2 linked regions of the Ovis aries genome follow. The protein of the gene in region 2 binds, or shares a complex with, the protein of the main gene of each other region. Links are inferred from orthologs where the notes say so. Each region holds a gene or a part of one and is shown on either strand. Other genes may lie near its edges. The genes, in order: PPP4C and PPP4R4.

Region 1 (3,143 bases), on a different chromosome or scaffold from region 2:
CCTCCTTCATCCACCAGGTATGGACCAAGCCCTTAGCAAGACATTTAGAGCACCTTGTTATCTGGCCTCTTACGACCTCTCTCCTACCAATGGATACTGTATCCAGCTGAACTCCACTCGGGCCACTTTCTGAACAGGGTGAGCCTCTCTTCCTTCCCGCTATGATGCCGTCCCCACCTCGACCTCATCAGATGCCCCCAAGTCAAGGAAAGCTGCCTGACCACCCAAGCAGCAACGGTCTATCACCAGCAGCACAGCTCAAGACTTGGGGGCAGATGGGGCAGGAAATGAGGGCAGAAAGGATGCAGGCCAAATCAGACCAGGTCTTGGCTCCAGAAGCCAGCGGGTTCCCACCTTAAGTGCCAGCAGCAGGAGAAACGTTTCGACACTGTAGAAACCACGATCCACAAAGTCCCCCATGAAGAGGTAGTTAGTCTCAGGGACATCGCCACCCACCTGGGGAGGGAGGAAGAAGGTTCAGCTTGGTCCTAAACTCGCCCCAACCCACTGCACCGGCCCATTTCCAGTCAAGTCGAGGCCCTTCTTCCACAATGGGCCTACCTAACTAGAGGCCTCTGACCCCCAACCCCATCACCAAAGTCTCCACTCTCAACTAAAGGGGTCTTGCAGTCATCCCCTGGGTCACCTTTCCTGGCATTCCCCACACTCACTCTGAACAGCTCCTTGAGGTCATAGAATTGTCCATGGATGTCACCACATACCTGGAAGTGAGGAGGCAGGTCAGAACTCAGAGTCTGAAAGCCTTTCTGCCAGGGGCTGTCCTTCAAAAACACCCTACTGCTTTATTTTTTTTAAAAATTCTGGCCTCATTGCATGGCACATGGGATCTTAGTTCCCACCAGGGATTAAACCCACAAGCCCACAACTCCTGCAGTGGAAGCACAGAGTCTTAACTGCTGGACCACCAGGGAAGTCCTGGCTTCATTTATTTACGGGTAAGAAATGGATTTATTTAGAGAAACACACTCCACAGACAGAATGTGGGACCTCTCAGAGGGCAAGAGCCACCTGGAAGTCCCTGCTTTAGAAGATCCTTATCCATCTCGGCCAAGCCAAGAGAGAGTGTGTGTATGTGCTCAGCCATGCCCAACTCTGTGCAACCCCATGGACTGTAGCCCACCAGGCTCCTCTGTCTGTGGAATTTTCCAGCTAAGAATATGGAGCTGTTACCATTTCCTCTTCTAGGAGATCTTCCCTGGATTGAAAGCTTCTACTTCCCAGAGTCGAGAATCTCCTCTCCCACCCCAATCCCCCCATCCCACTCTGAGTGCCAACTATTCTGTGGGCAAGAGCTAGAGCAAATTCTTTCCAGCTAGACTTGCAGCTCCCAGAGAACCTGGCCTCCTCCTCTCCCTACTCCCCTCCAGACACCCAGAATAAAGTCACTAGTAACACACAGGAACACGTGGAGTTCACTCACTCACCAAATTAAGAGTCCTTCTGCCCAGGCCAAGAGCATCCCTCCAGTGACTCCAAAGACCATGCCCACAACCACCATTTCTTCTAGCAAGGCTCTCTTGAAGATGGGGCTCCCAGGGATGAGGGGTAGACCCTGGAGCCCACAAGACTAAGGAGGACGCCCACAGGCCTAACAGACCGAGCTAGGCTGTGGGGGGACAGCGGGAACTCACTGTGACTGGAGAGTCCACCCTCTGCACGTTGCTCTCCTCCACCAAGATCTCTCTGGAGACAGAAGACCAAAGTTACCAGAGCCGGGCCAGCCCAACCCAATTTCTGACCTTTTCTGCAGGGGAAGAGAGGATGAGGCGTGAACCTCCATAGGGCAGGTGGGAGGTGTACAATTCCCCCAGGCAAGGCTAATCACAGCCCCCAAGTTCGAGACCCTTCTGTGGTTCCCCACAGTTGACAGGCCAAAGCCCCAGCTCTTGTTCAGCATCCAAGGCCTTCCCAAGGAGTCTAGGACTTTCCTGACCTTGACCCTCCTGGCTGCTCCCTTTCACACATCTGGCAACGACTCCCAGAAGACAAGAGCTCCTCCTCCTGTCCACACAGTGCCTTGGCTGGGCTCTTACAGCCCCTCTCTCCCCACCCCAGGGGCCTTCTTCCCCTGGAATGTTCTTGGGCACAAGGGTGGTGCCCTGGGCAGGCCAGCCATCAGATCCACCTTCAAGGCGATATGCTGTTGCCACTCTTCTATCATTCAGAGGAAGCGAGGACTCTGTGCTCCCTCTTTCCTTGCAGTGTGATCTACTTCTACCTGAACGAGCTTGACATGTAAATCACTGCCCATTACGGACACCCAACGTTAAGTAGCGCTGTGCTTCCAGATTTCGTCCTTGACGATCAGAGGAGCCAAGGACGCAGCAGTTCGCACCACGTGCCAGGTCAGTCGTTAAAAAAGTTCTGCATGGATGATGCGGGCACTCAAACCACCACCCTCAAAGGCAGGTGCTATAATGATTCCCACGGCTCAGATGAAGAAAGCGGCTGTGGCCACACAGACAGGAACTGAACCAAGGCGGCCTACTCTGGGGTCTGGCTCTTATTAAGCGAGTCTGATGTGGGAGGCACCTGCTCAGCCATCACTCTCTCGGCCAGTCCCTTCCCACCAGACCAGGAGCTCCCTGGGCTCAGGGTGCACTGCATAACTAAGGCAGCTCCAGGGAGGTGTGCCCTGGTTTCCAGGAATGGGAAGAGCCACTGGCGGTGATACAAGGGGCCAGAGAGCAACCAGGCTCTCCCGCCTGTCCTGCATCTTGTACCAAACATCCTCACACCACTGCTTACAATACTTTTCCAACTGACTTGGGAGGTTCTTCCCATCCTCATCAGACAAAGAAACTGAGGTTTAGAGAGAAAAGGGGCAGGATCCAGGTCACAAAGCTGGAGGGTGGCTGGAACTGAGAACAGATCTCCTGAGACTTTACACCAGCCCTTTCCACAGACTCGGTCAAAACCTGCCTCCGTGCCAGCAAGGCCTCAGCGCAATGTGGGAACCAGGCCGCGGCATCAGCCCTCTCAGGGCTCACACTTGCTCACTTTCACTGCTGACCATTGACCAAAGAATGAGATGCTGTCTCTGGATATGCAGAATCTCATCTGAGCTCTGCAAGAATTTCAGACTTGGAGACATAAGAATGACTGGACCAGGGTCATACCAT
Region 2 (3,911 bases):
TAATACCAAAAGTTAATGTACAAAATGGAGAGACAGGAACCTTCCTATCTTCATTGGTGGAGTGCAAAGCCATCCTAGAGAGTACCAGGGCAGACTGAAACCAAGCAGTGTAGGTTCTATGAGCAAGCAACTCCATTTCTTCCCTCAAGGTCCATGAGAGACACATGTAATACCCATTCCAGCATTTCTGTGATAACAAGGTACTGCTGGCAACCAGTTTATTATTTAAAGAACTTATAAGTAAAATGTGCTAGATCCCCAATTCAAATACTTTTAAAGGACAGTTAAGGAACTCCTGATATGATAAGCCCCACCAATAGCTCTCTTAGACATTATGTTGAAGGAAAAAAGTACAGAATGAGTTCTTATCACAACAGCATTCATGTATATTCGAAACAGATACTTAAACCAAAAGCACTGTCTTTCGAGGATACATACATGCACTGGGACACATCAAACAAGAGAGAATGCATACAGGAGGCGGGTAGAGAAACGACCGTGGAGAGGGAATGAGTGGAAAATAATAATAAAAAAAAGAGGTCCTGCTGACTCTCGGGCGCTGAAGAGTATGATCAACAAAACTCTTGTCTCTGAGGTCCCCCCAAATTGCCCTAACTTCTCCCATCGCTTCCCACTCGTAACAGAATAAAAATGCAAGCAACTCAACGTCGCTGCCTGGACTCTTCTCCATTAAGGACCTACCTCTCTACCTTGTCAAGCACCCGTTTCCCTGCACTCCAAGCTCTACTTCGCACTTTCTACAACCATATAGACGCTCAGGCTTCAACCCGGAATCCGCTTACTCTAATTTCTCTTGGAAAAATCCTGTTTTAAAATTCAGTTTTAAGTGTCTTCAGGAGTCCTTTTTCTGACGGCTGCCCTCCCTACGTTAACCCCTCCAGGACTGTATTCCCAGATCACCCGTCCCAACAACCTAGCACACCCCAAGTTCTATTTGCTTATTTTTCGTACACAACCCTCCCCCAAGGACAAAGCAGAGTTACCCAGCTCGTGCGCTGGGGTGGGCGGTCCCACGAATAACCGCACCACAATTCCGGCAAGTTAACCAAGATCCCAACCCACCTTCCCCTTTGTTTCCCTCACTTATTGGTTCATCTCCGTCCGGGGTCTACAGACCCCACAGCACCTCCACCGGCTGCAGTAGGTAGGAGGCTCTGCGCATGCACTACAGCAGGCGCGCACTCTGACGGGGGCGGGGCGAAGGGGCGAGGAGGGCGGCGAGGGGACGCGGAGCGGCAGTTGCGTCCGGCCCGCCGGCAGCGGGTGCCCGGGAGGGGGTGGGGCCGAGGCGGGCACCTACCCCGGCACGGCCCCGCCCCCACAGCCCGCCCGCGCGCTTCGCCCCGCCCCCTCGCCTTGGCCGCCCCGCCCCCTCGGCGACCGCGCTCCTTCTCCCGCCGCCAGCTAGCCGCCCGCTAGCCTCCCGCCCGGCTCCGGCGGCGGAGAGCGGGAGAAAGTGTTGCTGGTGGGCGGCCGCGGGGCTGTGAGCGTCCGGCATCCCGGGACCGCTCCGGCCCGGGCAGCGAGGGGGCCCGGCGGTCCATGCATCCGCCGTCGCCCGCCGCCACCGCGATGGATTTCAGTCAGAACAGCCTGTTCGGCTACATGGAGGACCTGCAGGAGCTCACCATCATCGAGAGGCCGGTCCGCCGGAGCCTCAAGGTGCGCCCCGGGGAGGAGGAACTGCCCGCAGGGCGCCCGGCGGCTGGCCCCTGCCCCGACCCCCGCCCGTTCGCTTCACGAGGCGGCCCGGGACCCTCTCAGAGTCCTGCTGCCCGCCCCCGCCCCCCTCAGTCCCCGAGGGCCGTGTTACCCTAACCCGACCCCTCTCGGGCCCCCCTTCTTCGACGCGGCTCGGCTTCTCCCAGCCTGGACCCCCAGCCCTGAGGTACGGGCGCCCGGGACCAGCCCGCGACCCCTCAGACGCTCTGGCTTTTCCAGTTGCCCGTCCCGGCCCTGCCCGCCCCGGGCCCTTTCCCCAACCCGGCCACCTCAGGAACGGCCCGCCGAGCCCCTTCGATTCGGGCCAGCTCGGCGTCCTCTCCCGCGCCGTCCCTCTCTCACGGCCCGGGGCCCCTCCGCCGCGGCCCCCTCCTCCTGGGCCCTGCGGGAGCTGCCCCTCACAGCCGCAGCCCGCTGCCTCCCGCGTCCTCTCCTTGGGGCTCCCCCTCCCCCCGCTTCGGCTCCCTGGTGCTGCTGCTGCCCGGGGTTGTGGACCTAGTCCCAGTCTTCAGTTAACACGGCCCCGACTCTCCTCGCTGCCTTTTCCAGAGATACCTCAGATCCCACTCCGCCCCCCCCTCCCACCTCCGTCCTCATATGAGCAAGCCCAAGGCCCCCACTTCACCTCCCAACCCACCCACACCCATCCTGGAGTCGTCCTGCTCTCCGTCTTCAAAGCCCTCTCGACCCTTTGTCCCGATCCTGAGTCACCACGTGTCCCTTCCTTCCAGCCCCTCCAAGACTCTTAGCAGAGACCCTGCTCCCCAATCCTCAGCCTTCACTAGGCACCCCCCCCCGCCCCGACCTGCCACTAGCTCCCCCACCCCGCAAAGTCATCTTGCTTCCCGAGGCTCCAACCCTTACTGCTGCCAAACCTAGTTGACCGACCACCGACCCCCGCAATTGCACCTTTAGCTCTTTTCGCTCCCACCTGCCGCAATATCTTTGATTTCCTTCCAGCCCCAGAGTTTATTCCATTCCCTCCCCCAATCCAGATTTCGTCTTTCTCATTCTCCCTCCGCTGGCTGCAGTCTTCATCCCCCCCCCCCACCCCTTTTAAGCATTTCCTGGGATGGAAATGCTGGCAAAACACTCTTAGATATTAGAGATGAAAACTACGTACATATTTTACATATGCACATACAATTGATTTCAGCAAGGTTCTGAAGTCACATTGTGTTTCTCAGGCTTCAGTCTAGAAGCTAGAAGAGTAAACAAAAGGGAAAAAAAAGCCCCAGAGCCCCCCCAAACTCCACCACCTAAACCCAACCATTAGAGATATCTGTGATTTGAGGGTGGCAGACCCCTTAATTAGTTTTCAAGGATAATGCTTAATTGCGAAAGTTTTTCATTAGTCTGCACTCGTGGAGGGTCCCTGGAGGCAAGACTTGAGCTGATGCTTGTGTGCATAATTTGTGTTTTACACTTGACAGACACCAGAAGAAATAGAAAGATTGACAGTTGATGAAGACCTCAGTGATATTGAAAGGGCTGTTTATCTGCTCAGGTATTTCGTAAAGTCTTTTTGTGATAATTCCTTCTCTTTTCCTGTGGCAGCATCCACAAATGATTTCTGAAATGTCATGTTACGGTTATGTTAAGATTTACTTAACCACTTGAACAGAGTACTTTGCATGCACAGTACTTAATTATGTCATAAATTAGACTTAGATGTGGGCTTATGAATTTCAGAACTGAAATCAAGTAAGGTACTTAGCTTATAGAATATTGCTTGGAGGAGGAACAGAACAACTCATGATTTGAGTTAAATCTCTTAAAAAAAAATATCTTGCAGCCTTGGTTGTGTTCACATAAGAGCCAGTAAATTTAGATGAATTTAAAGAATATCCAATGATTAATTTTAAGTTAATTTTAGAGTTTGAACTTTATATGGTATTTGCAGAAAAAAATCCGCAAATATGGTAGTTCAATTTTTTTCCTCAGGATAACCTGTTTATATTGCTTTTGCTATGTGTGCTTTATAATTTTGCCTAAGAGATTTTAAAATTTAATTGAGTCTACTCTCAGTTAAGGTTCATCTCATAAGCTCTACAGAATTGCTTACGCCAAATGGTTATGACAAATATTTACAAGATTTCTTTCAGCTATTTTAAAAATTGTGCTGTGGATTTAAGTTTAAAAGCTAATGTGAGCATTTAATGAATATG

Evidence for each region.
Region 1: PPP4R4 (region 2) and PPP4C share a complex: the UniProt entries of both Homo sapiens proteins name them as parts of the PP4 complex. The link is inferred for Ovis aries from reciprocal best matches to the Homo sapiens genes PPP4R4 and PPP4C.

Annotation. Positions count from the first base shown.
Region 1 is NC_056077.1:26,718,752-26,721,894, forward strand, and holds part of PPP4C (serine/threonine-protein phosphatase 4 catalytic subunit), read right to left. Parts: intron 1,705-3,143; coding exon 1,653-1,704; intron 1,611-1,652; exon of another isoform or gene 1,446-1,610; intron 723-1,445; coding exon 672-722; intron 457-671; coding exon 355-456; intron 1-354. UniProt on the Homo sapiens protein: Protein phosphatase that is involved in many processes such as microtubule organization at centrosomes, maturation of spliceosomal snRNPs, apoptosis, DNA repair, tumor necrosis factor (TNF)-alpha signaling, activation of c-Jun N-terminal kinase MAPK8, regulation of histone acetylation, DNA damage checkpoint signaling, NF-kappa-B activation and cell migration.
Region 2 is NC_056071.1:56,643,421-56,647,331, forward strand, and holds the start of PPP4R4 (serine/threonine-protein phosphatase 4 regulatory subunit 4), read left to right. Parts: upstream 1-1,438; 5' UTR 1,439-1,563; coding exon 1,564-1,683; intron 1,684-3,176; coding exon 3,177-3,250; intron 3,251-3,911. UniProt on the Homo sapiens protein: Putative regulatory subunit of serine/threonine-protein phosphatase 4.